2 linked regions of the Lytechinus pictus genome follow. The protein of the gene in region 1 interacts with the protein of each later gene in a biochemical or structural test. Links are inferred from orthologs where the notes say so. Each region holds a gene or a part of one and is shown in the gene's direction. Other genes may lie near its edges. The genes, in order: serine/threonine-protein kinase VRK1-like and barrier-to-autointegration factor A-like.

Evidence for each region.
Region 2: of the proteins of serine/threonine-protein kinase VRK1-like (region 1) and barrier-to-autointegration factor A-like, one has a biochemical effect on the other in vitro, tested with the Caenorhabditis elegans proteins (2 studies listed by BioGRID). The link is inferred for Lytechinus pictus from reciprocal best matches to the Caenorhabditis elegans genes vrk-1 and baf-1.

Annotation. Positions count from the first base shown.
Region 1 is NC_087251.1:3,482,937-3,499,263, reverse strand, and holds the start of serine/threonine-protein kinase VRK1-like, read left to right. Parts: upstream 1-9,300; 5' UTR 9,301-9,464; intron 9,465-9,560; exon of another isoform or gene 9,561-9,825; intron 9,826-9,945; exon of another isoform or gene 9,946-10,088; intron 10,089-10,297; exon of another isoform or gene 10,298-10,548; intron 10,549-16,327. UniProt on the Caenorhabditis elegans protein: Serine/threonine kinase that phosphorylates baf-1, thus regulating the association of baf-1 with chromatin and nuclear membrane proteins during nuclear envelope formation. May act through the egl-17 signaling pathway.
Region 2 is NC_087251.1:42,556,903-42,573,767, forward strand, and holds barrier-to-autointegration factor A-like, read left to right. Parts: upstream 1-7,783; 5' UTR 7,784-8,063; intron 8,064-10,748; 5' UTR 10,749-10,778; coding exon 10,779-10,907; intron 10,908-12,506; coding exon 12,507-12,653; 3' UTR 12,654-15,457; downstream 15,458-16,865. Other genes in the region: uncharacterized protein LOC129258002, read right to left, coding at 4,073-5,038. UniProt on the Caenorhabditis elegans protein: DNA-binding protein which plays an essential role in nuclear envelope formation. Required for normal chromosome segregation during mitosis. Associates with the nuclear lamina via its interaction with LEM domain containing proteins emr-1 and lem-2.

The DNA of each region.
Region 1 (16,327 bases):
GCCAGCACATAATACGCCCGCCTGTAACATGGAAAATGGAGCTATTGGTCAAGCAAGTGGAAGGTGGCGACTTCACCTTTGACCTTCTAACCTCAAAATCAATAGAATTGTTGAGATCTATGCTAGTATCATACACACCAAATTATATGAGCCTAGGTTAAGTTCAACTAAAGTTATTGTGTTAACAAGGACTGCAGCAGGGTAAGGTGAAAACATGTCACTGTGATCTTGACCTTTTGACCTCAAAATCAATAGGCTTCCTGGGATCCATGCTAGTATCATACACACCAAATTATATGAGCCTAGGTTAAGTTCAACTAAAGTTATTGTGTTAACAAGGACTTCAGAAAGGTAAGATGAAAACATGTCACTGTGATCTTGACCTTTTGACCTCAAAATCAATAGGCTTCCTGGGATCCATGCTAATATCATACATACCAAATTGTATGAGCCTAGGTTAAGTTAAACTGAAGCTATCGCATTTACAAGGACTGCAGAAGGGCAAGACGAAAATATGTCACTGTGACCTTGACCTATGACCTTTTGACCTCAAAATCAATAGGCTTCCTGGGATCATACAAAACAAATTATATGAGCCTACATGTAGGTACTGAAGTTCATGTTTACAAGGACTGCAGAAGGGTAAGATGAAAACATGTCACTGTGACCTTGACGTTTGACCTTTTGACCTCAAAATCAATAGGCTTCCTGGGATACATGCTTGTATCATACACAACAAATTATATGAGCCTAGGTTACATTAAACTGAAGTTATCATGTTTACAAGGACTGCAGAAGGGTAAGATGAAAACATGTCACTGTGACCTTGACCTTTGACCTTTAGACCTCAAAATCAATAGGCTTCCTGGGATCCATGCTAGTATCATACACACCAAATTATATGAGCCGAGGTTAAGTCAAACACTCTAGGACGGGCATATTAATAAAAGAAGACTGGTAAACATTACAACTTTGATCATTTCTGATAATGATCCTCCATCACAATAATATACCCAAGGGAAATTCACAAAAGATAATGAAGATTGAAGATCTACATTCATAATATGGATATATATGCAGTACATACAAACACATGTAGTTGATAGACCTGCTACTCCCCTTGAAATTTGTCTTGATTCAGGAGGGGATGACTCATGGTGTCCACTTAAATAATGGTTTATCTTGAGTTTGTTCATTCTTCATTGGCCTGCTGCCTTTCCATATTGCAACACCATTGTATGTGTTATTATTCTTTTATTAAAGAAAATTTCATTTGTCAAAAAAAAAATATCAATAGCAATTCCAATACCTACATGTACATGTACATGTATTCATAGACAATTAAACTGACTCATCATGTAGACATGGAGTCATGGACACAACCATTTTCTATTTCAGATAAACTTCTTGCCCTAAAAAAATAATTATACAAATGTGGTAATCAGCACTATGGACTTAAAAAGGACTTTGTTGAACAAGTGGTGATGCAGGTACATGTGCATAGGTAGCTGTTATGAATGCCTAATGTACATACATGGGGTTGCAATTGATTTTAGTCTTATTGGCGATGGAGTAGGTCTCTAATTCCTCATGATCATTCTTTTTTTTACTTTATGTTTATTACTTTCCACCTGTTTGAACTAAAATGCAGAATCAGCCTACACTACAAGCCTAGATAAGCCAAATGCATGTTGCTGAAACTGCATTCCTTCCACAATCTCAATGTTTTAAAAGTTGGTGGTTGTCATTCATTACAAAATTGAAAGTTGATATTTTGTTAAAATGTATGTTCTTTGTGATGTGATGAGAAATGATACACGCCTGTGTCCATGCATGTGGGGTTAATCTAGATGGCCATTAGCCTATATACATGTAGGGCAGAAATGAAGTAACATTGGCAGGATACAGTAATACACAGTGCTAATAATGCAATCAATTGAAGGATAGGCTTATACTGCAATTGGAACTATACATATTCAAGTTCATAATTAGAACTGGAAACCATAGAGGCATACATGCACATGTATGAATTTTAAAGGAAAAACAAAATCACAAACAAAGTTATTCATTTCATGATGTAGGCCTACATGTACATCATGTACATGGGAAATGCATACATTATTAATTTACATTGTCAGGGTGTACATAATGCCATAAATGTACATTTTCAAAATATATGAACTACATGACCCCTATAAGAGTCTACATGCAAATGTACACCATGTGCAGTGCAATCATCTACACATATGTATACAACTATGCCGTTTTCTATCTTTCAGAAGAAATTTGTAATGAGTACATGTAAATTCTGGGTTTGAAAAAATAGAAAATATAACAAACATTCAAGGTGTGGGATACAAATGATGATATTACTCAGTTACTGACAGCTAAGTATACAGTGGTTGATATATGATCCACTCTGTCAAACCCATTAGGGCTAAGGTGGTTACTTCACTTGATCTGTCACTTCGTATCAGGTAACTGCTTGAACATGTAAATTTGGTCACTATATAATAAGACATGCTTCTGGCTATCTCTCACACCATTCCCATGCCAAAGGGGTCTTTGATTATCACAATGTAATTTTAATGCAACATGGAAGACCAAAACTTCATCTCGAGTATTATAATCCGGCAATTATAGGCCTACATGTACATGTATAATGTATTGTAGTCATGATTCATTTTTGTCTCGCCCACCAGAGGTGAATGCGAGACTTAAGGCGACCGCACACCTTACGACTGGTCTGCGACCCGATTTTGGAACAAATCGCATTTTGCTCATTTTCTGAAGATGTGAATGGAACATATCATTTTATTTGAGGTTGAAATTAATTGAAATAATAATATTATAACAATTTTGAAAGATTGCAAGCCCTTATTTCGGAGTAAAGTCCCAATTAGTTTCAAATCGTAGCTAATCGTACGACTGCTATGACGTCATTACGACTAGATATTAAATTCGCTTTTATTCTAAGAAGGATGATAGCATAGTCACAAATTTGATCATAGGTATTCGTACGATGATTTAGAACATTACACAGTAAGATATTCCAAGTCTCAATATTAGCATCAAATTCTACAACAATTTATTCTAAAATCGGGTCGGAGACCAGTCGTAAGGTGTGCGGTCGCCTTTAGGGATCCAAATGTCGTCCGTCACAAACCTTATGACACATACATGTGTAACTCCACAACCGTAAGTCGCTTTTCAACCAAACTTGAATGGTAGATGGACTTGGGGGATCTGCATCTTATGCTGCAGTCGGAGGTCACATGGTAAGGTCAAAGGTAATTTTCAGGTCAACGTTAAAGTTCACATGCAAGACTCTCTTATGACACCTAACTCCGCAACCGTAAGTCACTTTTCAACCAAACTTGGATGGTAGATGGACTTGGGGGACCTGCATGTTATGCTGCAGTCCAGCGAAAAAAATACAAGGGGGCGCTGAGTGATATCGCTCCCGTAAGCTTTGAAATCGTGCTCGCAAACCCATTAGAGAGAGCGATCAGGGGAAAAAAAATCGCTCCTTGAAAAAAACTGGCTCGTAGGTCCGCTGTCTTCCCTTGTGCAGCGTACATAGAGGTGGATAAGAACCGCGCGTGTTGTATTGCGCTATGTGCAATATAATGCAATCGCCGTACTCTAACGTCAGCTTCATGTACGGCGCCATATTGGCAGTTCGGGACTGGGCGCGCTGCTGCTGCTGCTGCGAACCAGCTTTAGCTCGAACGCCATTTATCCTTAGTCCCAAAGTAATTACTGTTGGTAAGAACCCTGTCTAATCTTTGCAAAAGTTTCGATGAATTACCAGTGGATATTTTTCCGTTATTCGAATATCGATATTCATTTTCATAGTCCTGGAATTGCATTGCTATTTTTATTTTAATCACAATGTCAGTCCGAACTCGGGTCCTTTTTTGTTTACCCTCGTTGTTTGTGTAGGCCCACGTATAGCGATACATGTAGTGAAATAGACACCGCGTGCATGTGCGTAGCTGCATAGGCGAATGCATTTGAGTTGCACATCGCATCGGTCACCGGATATTTCTCGGAGTTGCTTCGTGATTTCTGAATTGTTTGCTTGAACAATTCTGTGAAAAAATAATGAACCATGAGTAAAAAACTGTCAGCTAGACGAACACATAAGTTCAGGTAGGAATATGAGGAACAATTTCCCTGTTAATTGGGACTGTACTATAATTAGTATAGATGTAGACTAGACACTTTTAATAGTAAAAGAAATAGTACAGATGGCACATTAAACAAATGGCATTATGGCAATCTTTACTTTTGTTGGTTAAAGAAATAGTACGGATGGCAAGTTAAAACACAACAAACAATACTTCAGATTCAACATGTGTAAAATGTGATTTATTTTTTTTTTAATGGCTCTAGCAAATTCAAAAATTGCTCTCGGAAATTGAAAAACGGCTCCCATAAATTTGTGACCAGTTAGAAAAATGGCTCCTGCAAAAAAAAAAAAGTATTTTTTTCTCTGCTGCAGTCAGAGGTCACATGGTGAGGTCAAATGTCATTTTCAGGTCAACGTTAAAGTTTACATGCAAGACTCTTTTATGACACCTAACTCTGCAACTGTAAGTCACTTTTCAACCAAACTTGGATGGTACATGTAGATGGACTTAGGCGACCTGCATGTTATGCTGCAGTCGGAGGTCACATGGTAAGGTCAAAGATCATTTTCAGGTCAACATTAAAGTTTACGTGCAAGGCTCTTATGACAAGTGTTATTCCATCCCAGTCAGTTCACAATGAAGTTTCGATACAATTCTGTTGCGTGCCCTCGCAAATCACGATATTTCTGGTTATTTTCATAAGTGGGCGAGACACAAAAACATGTAGGTTCAAGTACATGGCTAATTAATCTGAGGTGGACATTTTATAGAAATGGATAATCAAGCACCTCATGAATGCAGTCTTTTATGCATCATTCTCTACACAATTCATTTTTAAAAAATCGTATTTGAAGTTTGAACCATGAAACCCAAAAAATTAAAATACAATGCATTAGACATAGCTGGGTTGTACTTCTTGATGAAATTATACAGTACACATTCATACACCTACATGCTACATGTACATGTACATGGGGTTACCTTTTTCAGTATAATTATTATCTATATAGAGCGTTTTAGCCATACTTTAAATCCGACGAATATCCCATAGGCTCCTGTACAAAATTTACCGTTGAGTTTGAGACCATATTCAACAGTCTAGTGCGCATGCACGAATGCATGAAATATACAACGCGTACAACAATGAATGTAATGCCATGCGCAGCATAGATCACAATGACGTCATCATGAACTACATGTACATGTAAGTCGCATGTCACTGACCAAAATTGATCCTAAAGTGATGACATAATGTGATAAGTGATATGACTTGTTAAATTTCTCCCTCTTTTTTTTGGGGGGGGGGGGGGTTGTATAGATGATATTGGATGGCTTTATTTCATGAAATACCAGAAATATTCCACTTGTTAGAGCCAATCTGCAATTTGTGGAATATTTTCCCACATTCTTGGAAATATTTATGGTATTCCATTCTGAGCCATCCAATATAATGTAATTGTTACAATGCCTATCTCTAATGGTGATTTTGTTATGTTCAGCACTTCCACTTCCAAACTAGAATTCACTGAAGGTGATTAACATAATAAAAAATAAATCTTGTATGTTTTTACTCCAAGTTGAATATTTATACAGACTTTCATGAGCACTGGCTAAAAACTGAAAAATACAGAATGTCTTAAACATCTTTGCCTCAAACCAATTTTATCTAGCTACATGTATCTATCTACATGTACATGTATCTATCCATCCATCCATCTAGACATGTATCTATCTATCTCTATCTATCTATCTATCTATCTCTCTATCTATCTATAGATCTATCTACAGTGTATCTATCTATCTATAGATCTATCTCATAATTTTATGAGAATTGGCTGAAATCTGATGTTCTAGTTTGAACTGCAAGATTTTTACCTTAGTTTTGCGAATAAAACTGTTACCATGGTGACACACTTTCTGACAAACACCCAAAAAAAATGCCCCCCACATCTTTTCATGTACCTCCAGACCAATGTATGAACCAGATTCCATGAGAATTGGTTGAAAACTGAGGAATTCAAACTGCAAGATTTTTACATAATTTTCGCCATATAATACATGTATGTTGCTCCATGGCAACATGATTTCCGACAAACACAAAATATATGTCTTGCACATCTTTACTCCAAGATCAATTTTTGTGCCAAAATTTCATGAGAATTGGTTATCTAATATAAACTGAGGAAGCAGTCCAATGCACAAGATTTGCAATGGACTGACTGCCCGCTGATTCTTTTATACCCTTCAAAGTTTCAAAATTCATTTGGCGTGAGTATAAAAAGCAACAAATGTACAATACATTTCGCCCCTGCAATAAATTTTTCGCAGCTGCAATAAATTTTTCTCTATTTTGAGTATTTTCCCCTATATGTTTAATTTTCTAAATATGTGTATTTTAGTTTCTAGCTTTCTTAGAAACAGTATCCATAATCAAATTTCATCAAAATCTGGTGCAAAAAAAAGAAATTAGATTTTTAAGTTTCGCTCATTTTCAAAAGACAGTTATTTGTACATACATGTATATGTATATGTAACATTGTATGTGCACATGATCACATCCTGGTCGGTATGCAAATGAGGGAACTGATGATGTCACTCACTGTTTCTTTTTATTATTAGATGAAATATCTTAATTTTTCCCTCAACATCATGGTAAAAAAGGTTTGATTCCTCATTTGAAAGACGAGTCCACCCCAACAAACAGTTAATCTGAATAAAAGGAGAAAAATCCAACAAGCGTATCACTGAAAATTTCATCAAATCGAATGCAAAATAAGGTTACTTTTGCTTAATATCACAAAACAGTAATATATGCACATCAAGGCCGGCATGCAAATAAGCAGACTGATGTAGTCACTCACTCACAATTTCTTTGGTATTTTATTATATGAAATATGAAAAATTGTAATTTTCTCCTCACTGTCATGTGAAACAAAATTGAATCCCTCCCTGAACATGTGGAATTACCATTATTTTAACACTTTATGGAATTAAAGTCAAGTTGGTCCTTATTGTCAAATCTGTAAAAATCGAAATATTGTATAATTCAAACAATAAAGACAAAAGAAATAGTGAGTGACATCATAGACTCTCTCATTTGCATATCATGGAGTTGTGCATATAACAGTTTTGTGAAAAATAAGCGAAAATTTAAAATGACATAACTTTTTTATTCTACATCTGATTTTGATGAAATTTGCAGCATTATGCTGGTTTGATTTTACTCTACTGATTTATTAAAATCAACAAATTTCTGGGGTGAACTTGACCTTATGTGGGATTGCCTTAGATTGTGATACAAGAATAAAGGTGAGACTTCCATATTGTCATGTTTATCTTTAAATAATAAAAATAAAGAAATAGTGTTCTAACACCATTGACTCTCACTCTCTCATTTGCATTATAATCAAAGTTGTGCATATTTATAACTGTGTTTGTGAAAATAAGCAAAAATTTAGAACGTCATAACTAGTCCCAGTCATAACTTTCTTATTTCACTTAGGAATTTGATAATTTGTATTTGCTTTATGCTCGATTATTTTTTATGTTGGGGTAGGCTTGCCCTTTATGGAATAGCCAACGTTCTGCTGGCCATTGGGAGGAGGGAAAACCTTTTGTCTACAAATGATAATAAGTTGGCAACAGCTACATCCACCACTGTATTAAGTCATTTTGCCTCCGACGAAGATTCTGCTAGGATCGAAAGCTTAGGCCCCTTTTGACTCTCTAATTTACTCCATTGGCTCTTTTTTTAGATAAGCAGTTTTCAGCAGCTTCTTTTTGCCACTGTATTAAGTACTCTGCCATGTGTGTTCTGTAAAAATCTGTGAAGATAGCACTAGCAGACTATACTGAAGAAGATTACCTCTCAGGGGAATATAACCCAAATAAAATTTGATTTTAGAGGAAAAGAATAGACCTAAATTTGTAAATCATTTCCATTCCCTGAAAGGACATGATGTATGACATATGTTACAAGACTAAAAAAAAAGGAAAAAATCTCACCATTAATCCATGGATTAGGTGGCTCATACTCGCTTGTAACAAGACTCCCTTCAGGAAATCGGACTCTTCGTCCTGATCCCTTTTTTCCTGGGGCTGGACTCACTGTTGTACCATCTTGCAAACCTTCCCTATCTGACTGGCAAGCGTCTCCTTTAACAGTCTTGTCACATGTCTCTGCTGCATGATCCATTCTTGCAGGAGGCATCTCTGTCTCTGATAAAGGATGTTCACTTGTGACTCTACCTGCACTGCTCCCTTCTTTAAACGGAAGTGGTACGACTGTCTGTGCATCAGAACCCCCTGCTAACTCCTCAGAAGACACAATACTGTCCATTTTACTAGTCTTTTGGCAGCAGGCAACCGGCCACTGGTTCAAAAGCTTGATATCTTAGAAATAAGTATTTCCTTTCATTTCAATCAAACATAGTTCTAGAGGTATGAATCCTTAATTACAGCTGTAATTGATTGGTGTTTGAAACTTCATGAACCTGGTATTGTCTGAAACTTAGTCAGCGACTCAGCAGACAACTGTCAAGACTGTTGGAGTATTGACGTTGTTGTGTACCGTGTCACCAGCTAATGTACTCCGTAACATAGACGCAGATGGGTTAAACTCTTTCATTCACATTCAGCAAGCCACTCAGAAGTCAGAGTCAAAGCATACAGTGTACAAATAGTGAGTCAGCAAGCAAAATTTCCGAAGACTTCACTAGGGCCCTACGTCAAAATAAGTTAGATCCAATCTAGTCTAACTATTTGCATCACGTACATGTCTATAATTTACAATTGCCATAAATCGGCTTTCTTAAATTGATTTCCTTTTCTGTAATTAAATAAAATTAGCTTTGTTAGTTTGCTCAGATTCAGATCCTGTCTTGCGAATATTTTCTGACTGAATTCCCTAAATCTAATTAAATTCTGAGCTATAGTATAAACGTTATTTGTTAGAGCAGTGAACAAGATTATCAATTGTCGACATGATGAACATGCCTAACGCCAACAGTAATTTAAAACAGAGAGTCAGAGTAACGACAACGAGTGACGTTTTTAAGTTAGAAAAGGTGCTAAGTGATATTATTATTAAGTCTAGAATTCCGGCAGTCTAGTACATGTATCTACAATAGTACAAGTTGAAACACGGCCAGTCAAGCTTAGGCTTAGCTGATTTTTTTGTGGCAGTGTCACTGTGTCAGTGATTGGAGTTGGAACTTTGGCCCTGGCTTACTTAATCAATGTTGTTGATCAGCGGCAGACACAATCCGGCCACACGCACGGGGAACACATACAGTACAAATAATACGGTACCGGTACAATGTCAATACAGTGAGTAATACAGCCTGAAATAAGCAATGAGCCGGACCTGCGCCAACAACAAGTTGAACAACGACATGCATTCAGGGGCAGGGCCAGGGCATCGGCAGTGCAGCAGGTGATCGTAAGGCCGAGGTCCTCGGGAAGCAGGCGGCGTCTACGGTCTGGGGTGTCCGCTGCTGAGTGTCACTCCCAGCCCAGTGCAGGCGCAGGCCCAGGCAGCAGAGCAGAGTTGAATTCAGGCTGGCGTTCGGAAGCTAACTCGGACATGCACTCGCTACGCCTACGGCTACGGCTACGCCGCCGTTAGAAAGTCTAGCATTGAATGAAGGGACCTCTATCTACGCTAGTTAAAGTTTAACATAAATTTTCTGTAAATGCCAGGTAGGCCTACGCCTAAAACTGCTGCCTAAGCCAGACTTAAGTCTAGACATGTCAGACTATTCTCTATAATGCTTCCAATTCCTCTTCTCGATCGAGTCTCGACGTTAACAAACGCAGTTAATTACGATAAATGGAGATACCGGTATTTGTCCGGTTACCTATTTGTCCCGGTCTAGACTCTTTTTCCGAAACTTTTGTTCGGTCTCATGATTTTTCAAAGTGGATAAGCCTGCTACGACTTATTATATTTGAGTAAGAACGACTGCAACAGCTTTCAAGACTAAGCCATATTTTCGCTGAGTTAACTCTGTGATATAATACCGGGGTACCTACATTATTTACAAAATTTTGTTGAACCCGGAACCAGCAAATCAAGTGGCGCGCTCGCCGTTTTTGAAAGTACGAGTGTCTTACGATAACGGCCGTAGATTTGCCCCGAAACTCTGGCGACGTTTACCTTCGAGCCGCGCTGGAGAAGTACAACGGTACGATACTCGTGCGGCGCGGCAAACAAAAAGATCAAGGCCTAAAGGCTAAAGCAGAAACAACCAGCTAGCGGCATATTATTATTAACGTTAGATTCTTTTGATGAGCGAGCATAAGTCGAGGTGATATAGCCTTTACTTAATAATAGGGTACAACCTGAAGTCTGAACCAGGCCACGATCAACGCCACGCCACGGTACCGGTAAGATATCGACCATTGTAATAATGTAAGACAAAAATATTAAAACTTAAATTTTAAAAGTAAACCATGTAGGGGCCTATGTATTTTATGACTTATTATATGTAAACCTTGATTTGAAGTTGATTGAAGAATTATTGATTTTGCAGGTCAAATCAGAGTAGGCATCAAAGAGCCTTTAGTTTAGACTTTGTACATGTGATCAAACTCTCATTCAGATAATGTATGTTACTATGTAAGTCACCCTACTTCAGTATTTATTCTCCAAACCTGAGATTTTCAACCTATGCACTAACATGATGGCAATGCAGATGCTACTTACGAGATTGTGATAGTGGAATTTTACTGCGAATTACTTTACATTTAGCTTAATTTTGGTCGAGTTTTGAGAATGAGACATATCCTTTGAAGCTTGAGTTTGATGTGTGGGACATTTACAGGCTTAACTTGTTACAGTTAAAATATTTCCAGGCCTTACTTTAATAGGAGTGAAGCTGATTAAGTAATTTTGTCTGAGATATTCAGTTGCTAATAATAGTAACCAGCTTTACAATATAGTCTCAGAGATGGAGGATAGACTTAAATTGATAATGATAGAGGAAGGGTGAAGTCAGCGAAGTAGTGGTCAGTGGTGGCAGCCCTGAGAAACTTTCCCAGAGTGCTCCTTTGACAGGATCAATAATTCAATAGTTCCTAGTATCAGTAGTTTGGACACAAAATCTGAAAGAATAAGAAAGGAACTCTATCAGCATGATCAGTATCAGGACTTGAAAAGAGCAAAACTAGGAAAAACTCAACTAAAACAAATGACGTTTCTCATCAAAGTGAATCAGCCTCTTTCTGTATGTAGTAAAATTACCATTCATAGATACCAACTCTGACTGTATAGAATGTGAACGTTGTGAAGGATGGTTTTGCATGAATTGTAGCGGATTATCATCTTCTGATTTCTGATTATTTCAAGAAGTTAGAGCTGCACACTGGTTTTGTGCTCAATGCGAATCAAGAGCAATTGAACTGAAGCCGTTAAAACCGATCAAGTTGTTTAAGAAAAATACTGTAGCAAATTCTTAGGCGAAGCAAATGACAGAATTTCAAAACTGGAGTTAGAAAGTGTAAAGTGGAGCTCAGTGCAGGATCACTGTTATGAATTAGACCATAAACTCCAGATTTTGACTGAATCGGTCAGTGAAGTACAAGCTGATCTCTCTCAAGGTTTGATGTCAGCTTCAGCCAGTGCTAAGAGATATAGTCCAGATGATCTGAAACTGTCGCAATCTGATGTTGTGTCTATTTGTAAAGGCTGCATGGAGGAAGAGAGAGAAAAGGCTCGGAGGCGAAATAATGTGATACTACAGGGGATACCAGAAGTAGATTCGGATGATTCGTCTACAAGAAAGGATCAAGATACTGGTTTTGTAAATGACATTCTAAAGCAGCTTGACATACTGTCTAATGCTCAGTATGTAGGCTATGTCACACCCTAGATGCTTATTTCAGAGGAAGATACAATGATAGATGAGAAACTTTGTTCAGGACCATCAGATTTTCGACTTTAAAGAGGATCAAGATGTGAAGACAAATATAACTTGTTTAAGGACATTATTGACAAATTAACCGAGGAGTTTGTACCCAAGTCAACTGCATCTTCAACTACTATTTAAAGCAGAACCATTATGGATGAACTCTGAAATCAAATCTGCAATCAAGAGGAAGCACAAGGCATGGAATGTTCATCAAAGTCAAAGGTCGGCTCAATCTAGATGGGTTTTCAATCGTATCAGAAATGAGACTACAAGAGTTATCAGTCAAGCCAAAAGGAAGTTTGAGTCCAAGTTGATCTCAGAATTGAAGACTAATTCCAAGAGTTTCTGGAAATATGTTCAAAGTAAACTCAAAATAAAGCACGACATCAGTCTTCTTTCCAGACCTGATGGATCTTTGACGTCTGATGATGAGGAGAAGGCAGTACTTTTGAACAATTTTTTCAGCTCTGTGTTTACGAAGGAGGATTTGATGACCATGCCAGATATTTCTGACAGAAGTTATGCCGAACCTTTGACATCTATCAACATTGACACTGAAAATGTCCTTTAAGTGTTACAATCATTGGACCAATCCAAATCTCCAGGCCCAGATAGGGTACACATCAAAGTACTCAAGGAACTCGGTGAACATGTCACCCCAATACTCTCAAATATGTTCAATGCATCTCTGGATGAAGGAAAAGTTCCATCTAAGTGGAAGCTAGCAGATGTAGTTCCATTGCACAAGAAGGGAGACAAGACAGCTCCAGGAAATTACCGTCCAGTTAGTTTGACAAGTGTGGTGAGCAAAATAATGGAAACCATGGTGAGGGAAGAAATAGTGCAGCATATGGATGAAAATAGTCTGTGGTCAGAGCACCAACATGGTTTTCGCAAAGGAAGATCTTGTTCATCTCAACTTCTAGAAGTGATTGAAGATTGGAATAACATTCTGGATAATGGTGGTAACGTGGACTGCATTTACCTCGACTACCAAAAGGCTTTCGACAGTGTTCCCCATGATAGACTGCTGAAGAAACTGCATGCTTATTAAGCCTGAGTCATATCGATTATTTTGAAAAACGGTGTTCGACAGCTTTAATTCGATCGAACATCGATGCATCGAATTTTAAAGGCGGGAAAATCGAGTCAATTTTTTTTGTTCCGGCCGTCGCGTCGATGCGCTAAGCACGCACTGCATGCGCTAGCGCTGGCATGGCCGGGTGAGCGTTGCACAAGCAGATGACAGAGCAAAGTTTGTTTGTATTTTCCATGATCACAAAACACAAAAAAAGGCCGGGGACCAATGCAGAATTCTTCCCAAAATATCTTCAACAATGATATTTGCAGATGACAACATATAAGTTTAAAATGAAACAATATTAAAGCCATGAATCACGCAGAGTCGATCCGAATGATTTTTGGTCAACTAACATTTGCAGTCCAGACTCGCATCGCACACACCTAGCCCCGTCCGCAGCCCCGTACACTCACTCTCCCGAAACGACAGGCGTGCTTGCCAGCAACCAGCAGAGAGCACTGTAACTTGCCTGAGATCGTGTAGTTGGATCCAAAATGAGCTACAAATTGATGGGAATAATTATAATACGTAATTTTCTCTGGATGGTCATTTGAATTGGTATTCAATGCTGATATAACGAATGTGAGGAAAGATTGTAGAATATGAGTTCTGACGATGTTCCAGAATTAATCCTGATATGATAATCCATTTTTATTTCACAGACACAAGAGCATGCGATCGAAATAAATACAAATGACTCGGATAGAGCTCTAAATTCATTTAAATTATTATTGGATGTTAAATAATTACGATTTACATGTAGGCAATAAGATTTGATGGCCATACTAAAAATATTAACGATGTCAGCGAAGTATGTTATGTTCATATGGAAGTATTAATATTGGCATTATTTTTATTTTATTCCATCTAGACGTCTCCGAGAAAAGAAGCACAATGCGCATGCGCGTTCGATGACGTATGACACATTTTCCATTCATGAAATCAGAGCCCAAAGTTGGGCACAAACTAACTTCAAATTGATGGAAAAAAATAACAAACGCAATTTTCTCTGTTTTGTCATGTACATGTATAATGTTATTATATGGTGATATTACGATCTTGAAAAGAGTTTCTGCATGTTGACAATGTGCGAGAATCAATCCTGACGTGATAATTTTTTTTTTAGACAAGTGCACTCACTCAAGTCGATCGTCATGTGATGTCCGTCATTGAAAATTAAAACGAAATACAAAGTTTCACATCAAGCTCTAAATGCATATTAATGATTATCATATATAAATTATTGTTAAATATTACGATTAAATAATATTCTATGGTCATGATATTAATATTGTTCATGAGTGCAAGGTATATTTTATGTTGGTCTCGGCAACTTTCTGGTTTGATTAAAGCACAGTACTGCGCATGCACGATCGATGGCGATGACTTCCATTCATGAATTCATTGTGCATAAATTATCTCGGCACAAGCAGACGAGTAAGAATAGGCATCATAATTGCACAATCGGTTTCATTTTGGGGGAATATAAATCAAGTAAGTAGTAGTCAAGTTGGACATTACTGTTTATTTTAATGATTGTGTGAACCAAACGAATCGGCCGGCCGACGTTTTTTTTTTTTTTTTTTTTTTTTTTCCGATGCACCGATTTTGCAAAATCTGCACCGGCGCTCGATGACATCGATCGAACACCGATTTTAAAATCGATTCAACTCGGGCTTAATGCTTATGGTATCCAAGGGAAGATTCTGAATTGGATTAAAGCATTTATCAAATAGGAGCCAGAGAGTAAATGTCAATGGATCCTTTTCACATCATGTACCTGTTACCAGTGGAATTCCTCAAGGGAGCGTGCTCAGCCCCGTTCTCTTCATTATTTTTATTAATGATCTCCCCGAGGTTATATCTGGTAAATCATCGACAGTTAAAATGTTTGCAGATGATACCAAACTCTACTCTTCTGTCAACAATAATAATGATGGTGAGATGTTGCAGCAAGACTTGGACAGTCTTTCAAATTGGTCCAAAACATGGCAACTCCCCTTTAATACATCAAAATGTAAAGTGATGCACCTAGGTAGGAAAAGTTCAGACAGGATTTATAAAGTGCAGAAAGATGGTATGATTTCCGACATTGCATCAGTATCAGAGGAGAAGGACTTGGGAGTTACTTTCGATGATAAGCTCAAGTTTAATCAGCAAGTCGGAAGAGTTGTTGCTGCAGAAAATAGGAAACTAGGAATGATCAGACGCACCTTCTCATCTTTTGATAAAGAAGGATTCCTACTTCTGTACAAGTCACTAATAAGGCCTGTCTTAGAATATTCCTCATGTGTATGGCATCCTATCTACAAAAAAGATATTGAGAAGCTTGAAAAGGTGCAACGAAGAGCCACCAAACTTCTGGCTTCATTAAGGGACCTCAGCTACCCTGCACGCCTCCAAAGCATGAAACTGCCTTCTTTTGCCTATAGTAGACACCGATCAGACATGTTGCAGATCTTCAAATTAGTGACTGGTATTGAAGACTTTTGTGCAGACCAATTCTTTACACTGTCTAGATAGTAGATCAAAGAGAACACATGGACACAATTTGAAAATTCTGAAGAATCGGGTTTGTTCAAAGCTGAGACAAGGTGTATTCTCTCAGAGAGTTGTCACACAATGGAACAATCTACCAGATGAAGTTGTGAACAGTCGAACTGTCAACATGTTCAAATCACGTTTGGAAAAGGTGTTTAAAAGGTCCCTGAACATGTACAATCCAGATGAAAATTTTCTTTGTCCATGCTCTACCCATGCCACTCAACGCCAAATAAGTTTTAGGTACCAACGTTTGGATACAGAGGGGCAAATAAGTTGTGTATAACTTTATGCCTACTTCCAAGGTAAATAGATTATATCATAACCTTGTTCATATAATGAGTGGCCTAGATCTAGATCTGGGGCCCGTTTCTCAACACCTGGACAAGTTAGTCATATCATTATCCACCAACCAATTAACCACGGAGTTGGTTCCATCCAATCTTACTAAACCCGTTTCACAAAAGGCTTCCTAACTAACGTTAGAATGCCTTGACTTGATATCGATACTATCGCTAAAAAGAGCAGACGAGACGTAGATCTAGCCTTAGTCACAAAATAGCATAATTTTCAAAAAGAAAAATTATGACAAAATTGCAAATACTGTGTCTGTGATGAATTGTAAAATACACCTTTTCAAAATAATAGCACAGGTAAAT
Region 2 (16,865 bases), about 39 Mb from region 1:
ATTACTTATATACCTATTCTGCTTGAGTTACAAAAAGTGCTTAGAATTTCCATTCTTTAGGTGAACAAGTCCAAAAAAAATCAGCTCGCGCTTTGCGCTCGCATTATTTGATTGTTAAATGCTACTTTAACAGGTATCTTTTCCATCAGTTCATTTCTGCTCGCGCTTTGCGTTTGTAGTAATTATTAAGTTGCATACACATCTTTTTAGGATAACAAACATTGCCCAGAATCAGTTCAAATTTTAGGAAAAAAATACATAACATTTCAAAAAAAAATTAGCTCGCGGTTCGCGCTCGCATCATATAAATAAGGATTATGATATTATATATTTATTTATAAGAATAAAGCTAAGAAGTGACTAATGAGGACTACCCCTTCAAAGAAACAAACAAAAATCATCTTCGAGCTGCCAATCGGGGAAAATATGGCTGAAACAAATTACCGCCCCCCCCCCCCTATTGGCGAAGGCTGGATCCGCCCCTGTGTCCCCCCTACCTTTTGGGAGAGATTTCCGCCCCTGAAGGTGGATATGGATCGAACTTTAAAAAAGAGCTAAAATTTTCATTATTATTACTTTGAGTTTTGACATAGGACCGGGACATCCTTACGACATGTCATGAAAATGATGACTATCTTCCTATTCCTCTTGCTAAGCGCGAGATGAAACAAAAGTGACAATTTAATTATTAAATTAATATCATATTTATTAATGCCTAATGAGAACGCGAAATCTGATGATATTATGGCATAAAAACTGGACATTTCACCTTTGTAATCATGAATAGGATGCATCAGTTAATATATTTTTAACCATTAATGCGAGCGCAAATCACGAGCTAGAATTTTTTATAAACTGTCATGAAAAGGGGATTTTAAGTAGTTTGTTGTATAATCTATATTGAAACATTTATATAACTCGCCAATCGAAATGCGAGCGTGCAGCCAGCTAGCTGATACGTCTTGGCAATCAGACCTGAAAAGGGATATTTTGAAAACTTTATGGAATACACGAAAATAATAGGTACCTGATAAATCAAAATTTGCGAGCACGCAGCGCAAGCAGCAAATGTTGATAAAATTATTCAGACCATATAACTGACATTTTTACAGAGCACTTTTTAAAAATAAATTTGTAAATCACACAAAATAATGAAAGTTCGATTTCCGAGGTGAAATATGTTTTGTATATTGACTCCCAAACCTGATATTTGAGCTCCATATTGAACAAGATATGTAAATCACCTAACAGGCAATGCGAGCGCGAAGCGCGAGCGAAAATTTTATATAGTGGCACGAAAGATTCTTTTTATTTTCCAAGTCTTCCCCTCATCTTATTTTATGCATTCGTCGTCCTTCTCTTCCTTTTCTCCTCTCTTTTCCCTCCTTTTTTCCTTTTTTCTTTCCCTTTTTTTCTTGTTTTGCTCCGCCAATAGGGGGGGGGGGGGGCCTCGGCCCCCCTGGATCCGCCTATGGGGACAAGGGGCGGGAAAATTTGACAAGCAAAAAAAAAGGTTATCATCCCCACAGTACGGTCATCTCGTCTAAACTCGTCCCAAAATACATGTTTTATTTCGATTTAGAATGATGTATTTCTTACCATCATAAAAGACAAAAAATAGTAGGGGGGACATTTGATATTGTGTCCCCCCCCCCCTTTCCCCCTTGGGATTTCCGCCCATGCATACACTCACTACATGCAGGGAGGTGGTCATATACGTGTATGTCATTACTCTCAGTCTCGCACACTAACTGCACCTGATATCCATTTAGGTTTACCCTTCGTATAACTTTGATGATTTCTGATTGGTTCCTTATACTCATCCATGCTTATGTTCATCTATGATTGGTTGATTATATACAAATGAATATTTATGTTTGTGCAGTCGGATGGAAAAACAATAAAAAGTGGCAGAGAGTGCCAAGGCCCTGGGAACAATTTTTTTTCACCGGGGTGCTGAGATTAATATACATGTATATGAAGGGCGGATCCAGGATTTGTGAAGGGGGGGGGGGGTGGCGGAGACCAGCTTCCCTACCTGTTGAGAAACGTGGGCATGAATCAGTACTTGAGCGTAAAGATGTCACAAACAGCCGCTCAAGAGCTGATGAGCGGGTGGGGGGGGGGGGCGTGGTAAGCATTAAAAAAAAATTTTAACCGTCAGTTCGTAATGTTTTCTGCAAAAGTGACCAATTAGAAATTCTGTGGGGGAGGGCAGGGTGGGAAAACAATTTTTTAAAAATTGGTAATGATTTTTTTTAAAGGGGGTCCAGCGGGTTTTTAAGGTCTAAAAAGGGACTTGGGCGCAGCCGCGGCCGATTCGGCCCCCCTCTTAACAGCCTGAACTCCTCAAATCAGCCTGAAAGGGGGAGGGGGCGAATCGCGGCCGATTCGCCCCCCCCCCCGATCCGCCCCTGTATATATATATATATATATATATATATATATATATATATATATATATATATATATATATATATATATATATATATAACAACGCATTTTGCAGGGGGTTGCTGTGCATCCCCTGAAAAATCTGCAGCACCCCCATCACCCCCGCTTCCCAGGGCCCTGGAGAGAGTCATATGCTCAGAGAGGGAGAGAGAGAGAGGCCACATAGCCGTTGCAACCTGAGCTAGAGAGTTGTTGGACTAATTTTTATTCGTCTCCAAAGTATAACACCTATGTAGTGAACCCAAAACGCATAAACCATCAAAGTAATCCTTTACAATAATTAAAAAACACACGAAAACAAAATGTTTATTAGGGCCTTTGGTATATTAAAAAAATAAAGAGAAAGAAATAGAGGAGAGAGGGGGCGGAGAGAGAGAGGCGGGAGAGAGAGAGAAGTGACAAAGAGAGGAAAAAAGACAGGGAAAGAATAAGGAGAAAGGACGGGGGAAAGAGTAAAAAAATGTAAATACAAAGATGGCACTAAAGAGAGAAAAAAATAAAACAATAGATTTACAAAATAGAAAATAGCCTTAAAAGGAAAGAACGAAAAGATATATAGATAGAAAAAGAAGAAAGATAAATTTGACAAGGGAAGAGAAAAAAGATAAAAAGATAAAATGGAAAGGAAGAAAGAATAGAGAGAGAGTGATTAGAAAGAAAGAAAAAGAAAGAAAAATAAGGAAAAAGAAGAGAGGGGTTTATTAAAATAGAAAGAAAGAAAAGATGGATAGGAAGGAAAGAAAGAGAAAGAAAAGATGGATAGGAAGGAAAGAAAGAGAAAGATAGATAGGAAAGAAAGAAAGATACTTAAAAAGAAAGGGAAGTTATATGCTTCTGTATGTGTGGATGTAAAGGTGTGTTTGTGTATGTGCGACATCATCATCCCCCCCCCCCCCCAGGTCTGAGGACGTGTCTACGCCACTGCAATCATTCTGTCTTCTAAACATACACTTTCGAAATTCACATTTCAATCGTAGCCGCTAATACATTTACACTCACAAAACAAACACATTCATCAGTGATCAGCACACATCTACAAATATTGCAAATCAAACGTTTAAATGAAATAATGACTGCAAACAAAAGACAAAATAACACAAAATATATTTGTCTCATTGATTTTAGAAAATATATATTATTGATGAACCTTCATGGAAGGAATATATAAACTTTGAGCAACAATATGCTGGAAGGAATTATACAGATGGTTCTAATAGAAGAAAAAAAATATAGATCATGTCATGAAGAAAACAATATGTAACTTTAAGACGTATACTGTAACATAAACATAGGTTTTTAAAAAATGATACGTAACTAATTACATTGAGCAAACTTTAACCGAAAACATGTTGTAATGCCCGACCCTTAAAAATGATACATGAAATTATGTCTACAACTCGTGTCCTTTCTGAAGCTGATATCAAAATTAAAACTGATCAAGTACTTCGCAGAATGAACTGCGGATCACCTAATAACAATGTCAATAATTATTGTCATAATGATACTAAAAAAGTAATAACAAAATATTGGTATTTGGAAAATCATAACTGGCAATATCAATAATAGTAAAAAATAAAATAAAAATGATTAAATAGGAAGACGAGCATGTAAGATAAAGTTAATTGACGGGGTACAAGTCTGTGGCAATCTGTGTCCACAAATGAAAGAGTGGACTTGCCGAAAAGCGCTGTGACCACATGAACTCACAAAGGTAGTCGCCTATCATGGCTCTGTTGGTTGGACCTTGTTGTGCCTTGAACTTCGCCTTCGCTCTCTGCCACATTGACTCGACTCTGTTGGTAGTCACACCGGTGTTCGGATCAACGAAGTTGAGTGTGTGGTTTACCACCCCGTGTTGGTATTGTCCCGGCAAGTTTGGTAGGTTGTTGTATGCTCTCCACATATCGGTCCAGATAATGCTGCCGGGTGCCACCCATTGTTGGATGATGGGCAGCAGGGTAGCCGCGTCCCGCTGCTGGACTTCGACCAGAAAGCCTATCTTGCGGGCAGGTTCGTAGCCACCGAGGACCCACTTTTCTGGTCGGGCGCGTCCTACGTTGTTTTTCCTTCTCGCAAAAAGAGACTCATCAATCTCAACTAGGACACCCGGACCCCCGATCTGCTGCTGGTGGTTTTGGAAGTACTGGACGCAGATGTCGCGAAAAAACTGCATCCAGTCCACCGTCGTTTTGTTCGAGACTCCAACTTCCTTCATGATGATGTCCTGAGGCAGCCCTCGAGCACGACCGCAGTTGGTTGACCATACGTAGGAAAGGGCAACTATCTGCCAGAGTTGAAGATGGCTCCTTTCAAAGAAGCTGTCCTTTCTGATGTTCACCGTCTTCCGACAGGGATTTGCGCAACGCCATGTGATGCCATCAACGGCCCTGTTATATGCCCCTTCCCGACATGGACGACCGCAGGTAGGACAGTCCATATGTGTTGCAAGAAGTCCATGGTTTCGGCACCAGAGAACCATGCCGTCGATGTCATATTTGAATCTATGACCAATCTCGGTCAGACTGATTCCCTCAAACTCTGCCTGGTCAGGCAAATTGCCGCCCTGAGGCTGAGCAGCAGCCATGATAAAAATTCAACTCGAGTTTTGACGCCAAAGATGTTTGGTCAACGACTGATCTGACACTGGGTTTTCTCGAGGGTTTTTATTTGGAAGTGGGGGGGGGGGGGGTCATTTTTATCATTCATCTTTGGAGTTTCTCTGATGATAACATTTTTGCCGCAATCAAAAGGTATCCCGCTTCATTCTCACGCCCCTGGGGGCCACTCTATATACAACGCTGTAACCACGCGCGTGCACAAATACGCGGAATAAGTGGCATTTTTTCGGGCAGGATCATTCATCTTTGGAGTTTCTCTGATGATAACATTTTTGCCGCAATCAAAAGGTATCCCGCTTCATTCTCACGCTCCTGGGGGCCACTCTATATACAACGCTGTAACCACGCGCGTGCACAAATACGCGGAATAAGTGGCATTTTTTCGGGCAGGATCATTCATCTTTGGAGTTTCTCTGATGATAACATTTTTGCCGCAATCAAAAGGTATCCCGCTTCATTCTCACGCCCCTGGGGGCCACTCTATATACAACGCTGTAACCACGCGCGTGCACAAATACGCGGAATAAGTGGCATTTTTTCGGGCAGGATCCCTTTAAGGGTATCAAAATCGCTCATTTAAGAGAAAAGGGTTTTTCAGAGCAAATTCCGCGCTAAGGGTTATCTTTTCCCTATCTGAAGCAAAATAAAAATGTTCCTATATAATTGATAATTAAAAGTGATTTTCACTCCTTTTTCACTGACTTACAATTTATATACGGTCGCATCATATATATCTATATTTTTTACAACAATGCAAATTCTTCTATAGTTCTATCATGCAAAGTTTTTAGGTACTATGTAGAAACAATTTTACCGTGCACAAGGTTGGGGGGGGGGGGGGTGAGGGCGAAGATAGTAGCTTTATCGGTGGGAGCAAAGCATTTTTTTCCTTCTTAGCTTCAGTGGGTCCTTTCCAAAGATATAAAAAGTAATATAGGCACTAGAATGTAATAATGTTGTACTATAACGATCTGTAAAGAGCTGTGCCCAAAATGCAAACTTTCTATATACCAAAATGTAAAATGTCTCACTCGGTCTCTACGCTACCTCACATAGTAATATAATATTATGAAGTGCCCCTTTTGGACCCCCTCACAAGTAGAATACCAAAGTAAAATGTATAAAAATTGAAGGAAATAATGTGCTTTCACGACAGGGGGAGGGGAATTAGGGGCATGGTTTCCAGGTTATCTGCAGGGAGTAAGGGTCGATACATATCGGAGCTACATTTTGGGGATTCTTTGAGATGACCCACCCCCACCCCCATGCGCGTATCCAGTATTTTATACCCCTGGGGGCCCGACCAGATTTTGGGCGCCCTTAGGTAAAATTTGGAAAATGCCGCCCCCCCCCCCCCACATGCATGATCAAAGTAAACTATATCTCGACACATTTTGTTCAAATTATAAAAAGATTTAACCCTAAAAAGGCAGAGTGATGTTTGTTTGGTTTTTATTTTCGGGGGGGGGGGGTGTTCTCAGACATGGAGCGACAAACTGTTCTGAAACTTGGCATGTAGTGTACATAGAACATTATATATTAAATAAACCTATAAGGTCAAACGTCTCTCTGAGCACATGACTCTCTCCAGGGCCCTTGGAAGCGGGGGTGATAGGGGTGCTGCAGATTTTTCAGGGGATGCACAGCAACCCCCTGCAAAATGTGTTGTATATATATACAGGGGCGGATCCAGGGGGGGGGGGCGATTCGGCCGCGCCCCCTCCCCCTTTCAGGATGATTTGAGGAGTTCAGGCTGTTTAGAGGGGGCCGAATCGGCCGCGGCTGCGCCCAAGTCCCTTTTTTAGACCTTAAAAACCCGCTGGACCCCCCTTAAAAAAAAATCATTACTAATTTAAAAAAAATTGTTTTCCCACCCTGCCCTCCCCTACTGACAGAATTTCTAATTGGTCACTTTTGCAGAAAACATTACGAAATGACGGTTAAAAATTATTTTTTTTATGCTTACCACCCCCCCCCCCCCACCCGCTCATCAGCTCTTGAGCGGCTGGTTGCGACCTCTTTACGCTCAAGTACTGATTCATGCCCACGTTTCTCAACAGGTAGGGAAGCTGGTCTCCGCCACCTCCCCCCCCTTCACAAATCCTGGATCCGCCCTTGATATACATGTATATTAATCTCAGCACCCCGGTGAAAAAAAAATTGTTCCCAGGGCCTTGGCACTCTCTGCCACTTTTTATTGTTTTTCCATCCGACTGCACAAACATAAATATTCATTTGTATATAATCAACCAATCATAGATGAACATAAGCATGGATGAGTATAAGGAACCAATCAGAAATCATCAAAGTTATACGAAGGGTAAACCTAAACGGATATCAGGTGCAGTTAGTGTGCGAGACTGAGAGTAATGACATACACGTAATATGATCACCTCCCTGCATGTAGTGAGTGTATGCGCATGCAAACAAAAGGATGAAATGTACATTGCATGTCCCAGGTGGTATGGATGGAGATGGTACGGCATGTGAAAAATTGAAAAATGTAATCTACTAGCATGAAATCAACATAGCATACAATTGTAAACTGAAGGAAAGTTCTCTGACCTAGAGTTCAAAACAAGGCTCTACATTATTATTTCTTATTTCATCGCTAAATCTACGTGTATTCACATTTTTCACATTTCTTATTTCATTCAAACAAGCACACACACGCACACCCCACACACACCTTCACACAACAAACATCAACCACTCTGCACAACCACTACCGTAATACTTGGTGCAAGCTGAAAGAGGGGGAAAAATCTTTTTGAAGATACCATAGAAAAACTCGCTCTTCTTGCACTTCACTAGGTGGTACGTACTGTACGCGTACCGACTGCTTATGTGCAGCGCTGAGCTTCAAGCGACCGAGTGATTCCGAAATAGGTGTAAAACTTTGTAAAAAAAAGTGTCAAAACGGCAAATATTCAACTTCTACTGGACTTTGGAGGATCAGATGCAAGTATTTTAGGTTGTGAATTATTTAGGGTGAGATTAAACGGGGAGGTGCGAAACTACACTAGCGCCGAGCTAGGCCCTAGGGATTCCTTCCCATTCATCTGCGTGTACCACCAAAAAACCTGAAACTTTCACCCCCGAGATTTCTACTTTCCTTTTAGTTTTAAAAGATCAAGAGTTCCGGCGCAGTGTGCGGCCGCTTAAGTTAACAATGCTTAGGTTAGGGTTTTTCCATCCTGTAACTAGTGTAACTATTTTGCACAAATTTAATCCATACCATAGACCTACATATCATATAAAAAGGACTGATGGTACTTACTATTTTTATCGCAAAAATTGGCCGATAGCAATCGTGTGACGGTGGTGGTCAAGATTGACCACCACTTCTGACCGCGATAGCATTCTTCTGTGTGCGGCCACCCTGTCTCTAGTGCGGTTTCCGATGTACAATTCCTATGGCGCTCCCGCAAGCTCTGTGAGGCAGCTGCAATTCACCTCTAAACGGCGCGCGAATGTTGCTGAGTGCGCAGTTCCATTGCAAACGCATGTGAAAATAGCGAGCATACACACAAAGCCGCACTTAGTTAGGCCTTAGGGCGCTACATTTTGAGGTGTTGTCGTATTTTTCATGTTTTTTATTATTTTTTCGATCTCAGCATTGACTTCCGGAAAGAAATGGCGGCCGACATCGGCTCGCGAAAGTACTAGTTTTTACCGAGGGGCGAGGACATGTTTTCAAAATCCACGAACATCGAGAAAACCGTGAAAAATCCACTTTTTTATACCCCTTGTTTCTTAACTATGAACCGACGGTGATATTTTTTTATGCGAGATATGGTGATTTACTTAAGGAAATTTCACTTTTTATTTGAGATTTTGCCCATGTCGCCGGATGATTTTGTAGTGTGGGAGTGAGTTAGTGAATATGTACTGTACATGTTTAGAGTGTGTTGGTGATTTCAGTGGAATATTGTTGAGTCTGCTGAATGGCCGCACACCAACCCCCTGCCGCGCACAGATGCAGTTACTCTAGCCCTTAATCATGTAGATGGGATACAACTTCATTTCGGACATTTCTACAATATCAATTTCATTTTTAAACAAGAATTCATTCAAAAAACGAGAAAAATGTTATGCTTGAAAACTTGCCACCGTGTTAACGTCACCATCTTGATTTCATTGTCTTTCGCTTGGCGACAGCATGCAAATTGCGCGATTTGCGTGCTGTCACCACTCGCCAAGCGAAAGACAAGGTCTACTCAAAGGTCATTTCATCATCATGATGATCCTCATCTGGTACGGGATGAAGGCGCGAGCCTGTAACTCCCGGTCGCTTCTTGTACTATTTGTAGGATTAATATTGCTGAAAATTACTACTTCATGAGCTTGTGTGAGGAGTCATGGAAGCTCAAAGTGCTTATTTTGCCAAAATATATCAATACGGTACTTCTTTTAAATTTGTCTGTTGTTGGCATTTGTATTAACTTAAGTATTTAGGGTCAATGAACTTAGACCATGTTGGGGGAATCAATATCAAAATCAATATTCCACCAACTGGACCATGTACACGTGGAAATCCTGATAAGTTCCAAATCCCATATGCCAGAACACAAATATATCAAAAGACATTCTTTCCTGATGCTATCAGAATATGGAACTCGCTCCCAGCAAAGATAGTCCACAGCACCTCCCTCGCGTCTTTCAAGCAGGAGGTGCAGCAAATGAGGCTTCGTTAAGGCCTCTTCTGTTTTTAGCCGCACATAGTTTTGTAGAGATTTTTACTTGCACTATTCATCTGGGCACTTGACAAGCACAACTAGTACGATAATATGCCAATGGCAGTCTGTACTTGACAAGAAGAAGAAGAACTTAAAAAGTATATGGATCTAGTTTCATTAAACTTGGCTATGATGTTAATGTCGTATTACTGAATATCCTGCCTGAGGGGAGGCCAATCGAATATATTGCTGTACACACGCGTGACCAAACAAACGCGTTTAAAGGGTTTTTTTTTTTCAGTTTTGGACATGGGCTGCGCGTGCACTCGTTAAGGGTATCAAAAACACAGATTTTCAAAAAAGGGATAGTTTTGAAAGACTGGTAAATGGTCAATCGCAGGGTCAAATGTATTTAGGGTACGTTTTTTTTTAAGGACTAGCCAAACGTGTTTAAGGTATGTTTTTTTCCCAAGCTTTTTCCCCGGGGTCATATTCTGGCGACAACTTGTTTAGGGGCCAAAATGTGCAAATAAAGCCCACAAAAACTTGTTTAGGTGGTTATTTTGCACACAGAAAAACTTGTTCAGGGGGTATATGGAAATGATTTGGCCACGTGTGTGTACAGCAATATATTTAACTGCCCCCCCCCCCCGGGTTTCAGGTCACATGACCAAGGTCAAAGGTTATTTAGGGTCAATGAACTCTGGCCAAGTTTTGGGTATTTGTGGAATTACCAATTTAACTTTGAAAGTTTATGGATCTGGTTGTGAATAATTATTTTAAAGTAGTTTTCAAAGTCAGCACTGCTGCTATATTGATCGCATGATGCAGGTGAGACTGCCAGAGGTGCTCCACTTGTTTATTACAAGTATTTACAACCCTGCCAGGCTAGCTTAGTATTTTTCCTTTCCAGTCATCCATGTGACTCACTCCTTTGGGAATTATCTTAAGTGATTTTTCTTTAAATTTTTTTTTTATATATCTTCCCCTGCATTAGATACCAGATTGGTAGTGAATACATTGCAGCATGGCCCAATCAACATCCCAGAAACATAGAGACTTTGTGGCAGAGCCAATGGGAGAGAAATCGGTGCAGGAAATGGCTGGCATCGGACCTGCCATTGGTGGTAGACTTAGTGAGAAAGGCTTTGATAAGGTAACAATAAATTTGTGATTTTTATAGAAGAATGGGGACTAGGGTAATTTAAACAGAATGAAGGTGCTGCAATAGTGACACAGTATTGGTTACATGTACTTTAACTGCAGATTTGTAACATTTATTTTATTTTATTTGAATACAAAACATGGAAACTTTAGACATGACAAAATACAACACAGTCTTCATGCAGCATAGTTCTACTGTATATTCTGCACTGTCTAATTTATCAACCCACTTCAACCATCGAGAATCTAACTTGGAAATTCTCTGATCTGACCAGGGAAATCTCCATGATCTAACCAAATCACAACCTTAAGCATTATCAGAAGGGCAGGAAATGTAACACCAGTGCTTGACAGTCAATTCCAAGTTTGATAATGAGAAATGCATACTGATGGAAATAATAGCTTAGTTCATGCCTGTTTCATGCCCGATTCAAACAGCTGCATTCTTGTTCTTATTACTATATTTATTATTAAGTTACTGAGGTTTAATTGATTTACCTAGTTTTAATTTTTTTAAATGTCAATTTCCACTGGTATGATAACATGCTAACAACAATGCAGAAATACAGTGTACAGTAGTGAAGTAAATTTGGAATGGTCTGAAATGCACCACTGTTACATAATTAGAGAATATGTATTCAAAACCACTAAGTGTTGCCAATGAAATTTTCAAAGAATTTAGAAAATGAAATGAGCTCTCTAATTATGTGGTCGCTGTATCAAAGCCCCATGTTAGCAAAGTCATGAGGATATAACGAGTTGCAGCTAAACATAAGTTTTTGTTGGAAGGCAACAATTTTAAAAATTATTTTAAGAAATTAACATAAAAATAATTATTACATAGTTACATCGGTTAACCTATGGCATCATATATTATGTCTCCATGGCCCATAATCTGAAGTCAGGTCTAACTCTGTGTTAAAATTATGGGAAGCCAAAAATTGAATACGGTAAATGCATTTACAAAATCTATTTCATATCTTTACTTGACACTTTCCACATTTTTAATGGTAAAGAGAACTATTTCAAAAATAATTTGTTCCAGTCTCTTATTGTATGATTTGAGTATCGAATGAGCTGACAAACTGAACTTAGACTGCAAGAGATACCTGTCACAATTTGCTATCCATAGTTTAACAACAACTTTAGACCAGAGTTTGAATTCAACTCAAGTTTAGAATGCAGGCTCATGAGTTTTTCTTTGCAGCTATGGACAGTTCTGCGATTTGGAGCTGTGAGGCACTTTCATAAGCATGGGTGGGATGATTTTTCTCCCTGTGTAAAAAGCTATGAAAAATGTTGTCAAGCCTTATCATGTCTGAAAGACCTTTTTCTCTGTTCAAATCAAATCAGTATGTTGTTAGGGTGTCACGCACACAGTACTTGTCATTTCATACATAGTTATTTTCTATGACTTTGAGTGATTTTTTGTCTTTATGATAACCATCTTTATTCACCACTTCTCTCTTCTGTGGTTTTTCCATCTTTTTCTCCCTCATTCCTTTTATTTTCCCCCTTTCACTCTCTCTTTCTTGTACTGTCTCTTTCTCTCTCCTTTTCTTTCCCTCTTTTCCTTCCCCTTTCATTACAGGCCTATGTTATCCTTGGGCAGTTCTTGGTCCTAAAGAAAGACGAAGAACTATTCATTGATTGGCTGAAGGACGAAGGAGGAGCCAACAAGAAACAGGCGGGAGATTGCTATAATTGTTTGAAGGATTGGTGCGATGCCTTTTTGTGATCTCATTTACCCAGTTTATGTTTTAGGATCAGAGCTTAAAAGGGGGCCAACCGGTGCACATAAAAGCAGCATGATGTAAAAGGAGCAAACTACTGTGGGACGCCACCACAGGAATTTTAATTTTTCAAAGGAGGCACTTTGTGTGGTAAGATATTAAAGTTTGATAAAACAATGGATATAATGACTAATAACTGACCATCAAATATTTCATTTACTGTACCCATTTTAGGGGAAAATTGCAATGAGTTTCGGGAGGATTTTGCTCCTGAAATGCTAAAAAAATCCCTGGAAAATAATAATAAAAAAGAGCCTAGGGAAGTCCTCCTTCACTGCAAAATCCAATGTTTCAGATTTCATTTAATTTATGAAAATAGACCCTGACCAAATTAATATGTAGGCATTGAAATCCCCAGGCATAAGAGCAAGTTTTTGTTTTTAAAGATGAACCTGCTATCATGTAGTACTTTATTTATCAATAAGGAAAGTTCTTCAGTAAGTTGCCAAATCAATACCATGGTCATTCGAGTTTTGGCTTGCTGACACAACTCATTGCACATTCTCATTTTTTCTCTGCTCCCTTGGGAGTACATGTAAGTGTGGTGCTTACATTATCAAGAAAACTGCATTGATTTTCAATCTTACTTGGGGGCTCTTTCATGAAAGTATTTGCATGTTATGATTGAATGCCTTTATGCTCAAGTGGAAGCCTTTCTTGCGCTAAGTGATAGAATGTATCTGACTTTACATGTTCCAGGTACATGAAAAATTGTAACTTTACGAACAATTTTATGAAACACGAGTCCCAAGTATCAACTTTTTGAAGAGTAGCAAATTAAGATTTATGGGGAAACATCGGGCTGAAGTTATCTATATCTAAATAAATAGAGTAAAATTCACAGAGCAAAATGCTGAAAATTTCATCAAAATCGGATAACAAATATCGAAGTTATTGAAATTTAAAATTCAGCAATATTTTGTAAAAACAGTTATAAGTACGTCATCATGATCATTAGGTGGGCTGATGTCACATCCCCACTTTCCTTTTTCTTATGTTATTACATAAAATCATAATTGTTTCATTTTTTCATACATGTGTAAATAATGTGTCTCCATTATATTGCAGCAATAAATAACTAATGCACTTAATCAGTTGTCAATCCAATTGTTTTAGTTCGTGGTAGAAAAATTTTGAATGAACCTAATTTCATATAATAAAATACAAAAGAACAAGTGGGGATATCACATGATCAGTTTGCTCATTGAATATTCATGGAGACATGCCTAGAACCGTTTCACCGGAATAATGCAAATTTTAAAATTCAATAACTTTGTTATTTGTTATCTGATTTGGATCAAATTTTCAGCGTTTTGCTCAGTGAATTTTACTCTGTTTATTGAGATATGAATATCTCCAGCCTGGAGCATCCCTTTAAGCATATAGAAAAAAAAAATCCCTTTAAGCATGACCACAGTGCAGGATTATTTGATGTGTTCAGATTCATATGATATAGAATGTGCCACCCAACTTCTTGTAAAGTTGACTATATGTTGTATAAAGTGTAGAAGTCTATGATGATAGTGTAGTTTTTATTCACAATTTGGGTTGTGGTCTGTTTGAAATCTGTAGAATACAATATCTAATGGGTTGTACGGGAAATGCGTAATACATTTATTCCTTCTGTTATGAGCCTTTGTATCAGTAGTTACCCTAAACACACACGTTAAGCTCAGATTTAGTGCAATTTTATCATGATGTTATGTACTATGTAGGGTATAACATTTCTAAACAATATCCAGCACTTATATTAATTTCATATATTTGAGAACTTTAATGTGTCGTGTTAAAAAAAATTGTGTTCATACTTCATAGTGCATTTTTTGGTCATCTGTTATCTGGCTTTATTTTTTTGAAAAAGAGACACTGGCGTTTCATATTGTCCTCTTAATAATTTAACTCAATTTTTTGTATTTCCATGACACATTCTAGATTGTATCTCTTCCATATATTATTTAGTTCATGAATTTTATGTGTAGGTGATTATTCCCATACTTTGAAATGTGCTACATCATTTTGTAATGGTTACATCTACTTGTATCATTCATTAAAATGTACTTTTGACACTATTACAGTATTACTCCTTGACTTGCGTGACATCACAATAATATGGGATTTTGATTGATCATAATGCATCACAAGAAATTGATTGATCACAAGAAAATATCTATTTTATCATGATTTTGAATTGATTCATCCATTCAATTGCTGCTGGTGACTGGTGAACTTACTTTAAGAATCACGATTACTATTTACAAAACATATGAAGTACAAAGTAATACAATTTCCATTTTTTAAAGGATAATTTTACTGATTTTTTTTGTTACACCGTGGAAATCTGTAGATTGTTTTGCAATGTACATTTTTAGATACATTCTGCTTTTGGTCACTTTCTTTAGATTGATGATAATGCAAGCCATCAAGGCAGATATGTATGTATTTATGATCTTGTTTACATTGACTCCCATTTCCTAATTACATAACACCATTGTTTTTGTTCATATAATCGAATATTGATTAGTGTTTAATTACTCCCATGGCACACCTTCCCATTACCTAGCCTGCTAATTGAAATTAGAATAATTTATGGAAGGATGTCTGTCCAAACTCCATTACACCATATTGTAGCTTACTTTATACACATAATTTGAGTTACAGAGTGTCCAAATTTTCTAAAAGTTGTTTTAATCATTCAATTCTGATTGTATATGTATTTATTGCTTAATAAAAATGCATTTTAGAATTTAAATTTGTTTCATCTATTGTCGACTTGTTATTCTTGTATATCTTTTTTGTGTGAAGTTACTGTTCTGAAGTGTCTCCCTGACAAAATTGAGAATTACATGTAGTTAAAAGAATTATGAATCATCTTCATATGAATGTTTTATGTCAGTTTTGCACTTTCTACTCTGATAAATGAAGCAACTTGTTGACTAGTGACACAGAGAGGACACTGCTTTCTTGGCCACCCCCCCCCCCGGGGTAATAGGGGAAGAAAGGGAAGGGAAAGGAAGGCGCAATAAAGGGGGGGGGGGGGGCAAGAGAAGGGGAAAAGAGTGAAAGAAGGGAAGAAATATGAAAGAAACGAAAAAGAGTGAGGGGGGATAATAAGATAGGGGCAGTGTAATCTTAATCTTAAAAAATCTGTTTTTTTTTTTTTGGGGGGGGGGCATAATTGTCTTAAACTTGAGGAGGCTTGCTAAATCATTGACCCGAAAATGAGGGGGCGCCAAATTGACCCAAAATAATGATGGGACCCAAAATAATTGTTAGTAAAGGGGGCACCAATTCCATTTTAAACTCGGGGCGCCATAATGGTAATGAAACTAAGGGGGTGCCGAATTTATCTTGAACTTTGTGGTCCCCAAATTGAGCCGAAAATAATAAACGCCAAATTCAAGCTTTCATCAAGGATGAAGATGGTGGTGACAATGATGAAGATGAATGCCATAGAGATAGTGATGGTGATGATGTTCATGGTGGAGTATTTGGTGATGATTAAATCAAAGGAAGAGTGATTTAATGATAAACTGAAATTCTGACACAGAAAATTTACTTCAAATATTCTGATGATAACATGGATTTAACGTTTGCCTTAAAGGGAGTGTCCGGGCTAAAAATATTTATATCTTAATAAAACGAGTAAAATTCAAAAAGCAAATTGCTGAAAATTTCATCAAAATCGGATAACAAATAAAGAAGTTATTGAATTCTAAAGTTTATAAATATTCTGTGAAAACAGTTATATGCATATCGTCATTAATATTCATTTGGTGGGCTGATGATGTCACATCCCCACTTTCTTTTTTTATGTTATTACATGAAATCATAAATGTTTCACTTTTCATACATGTGTAAATGATGTGTCACTGTTATGATGAAATAAGTTGTGGCAATAAATAACTAATGCACTTAATCAGTTGTCAATCCAATTGTTTTAGTTCTTGGTTCACAAATTTTTAATACACCTAATTTCATAGAAATTAGAAAAGAACAAGTGGGGATATGACATTATCAGCCTACCTAATGAATATTGATAAAGACATGCCTAGAAAATAATGTTTCACCGGAATAATGTAAATCTTTAAAATTCAATAACTTTGTTATTTATTATCCGATTTTCTCCAAATTTTCAGCAGTTTGCTTTGTGAATTTTA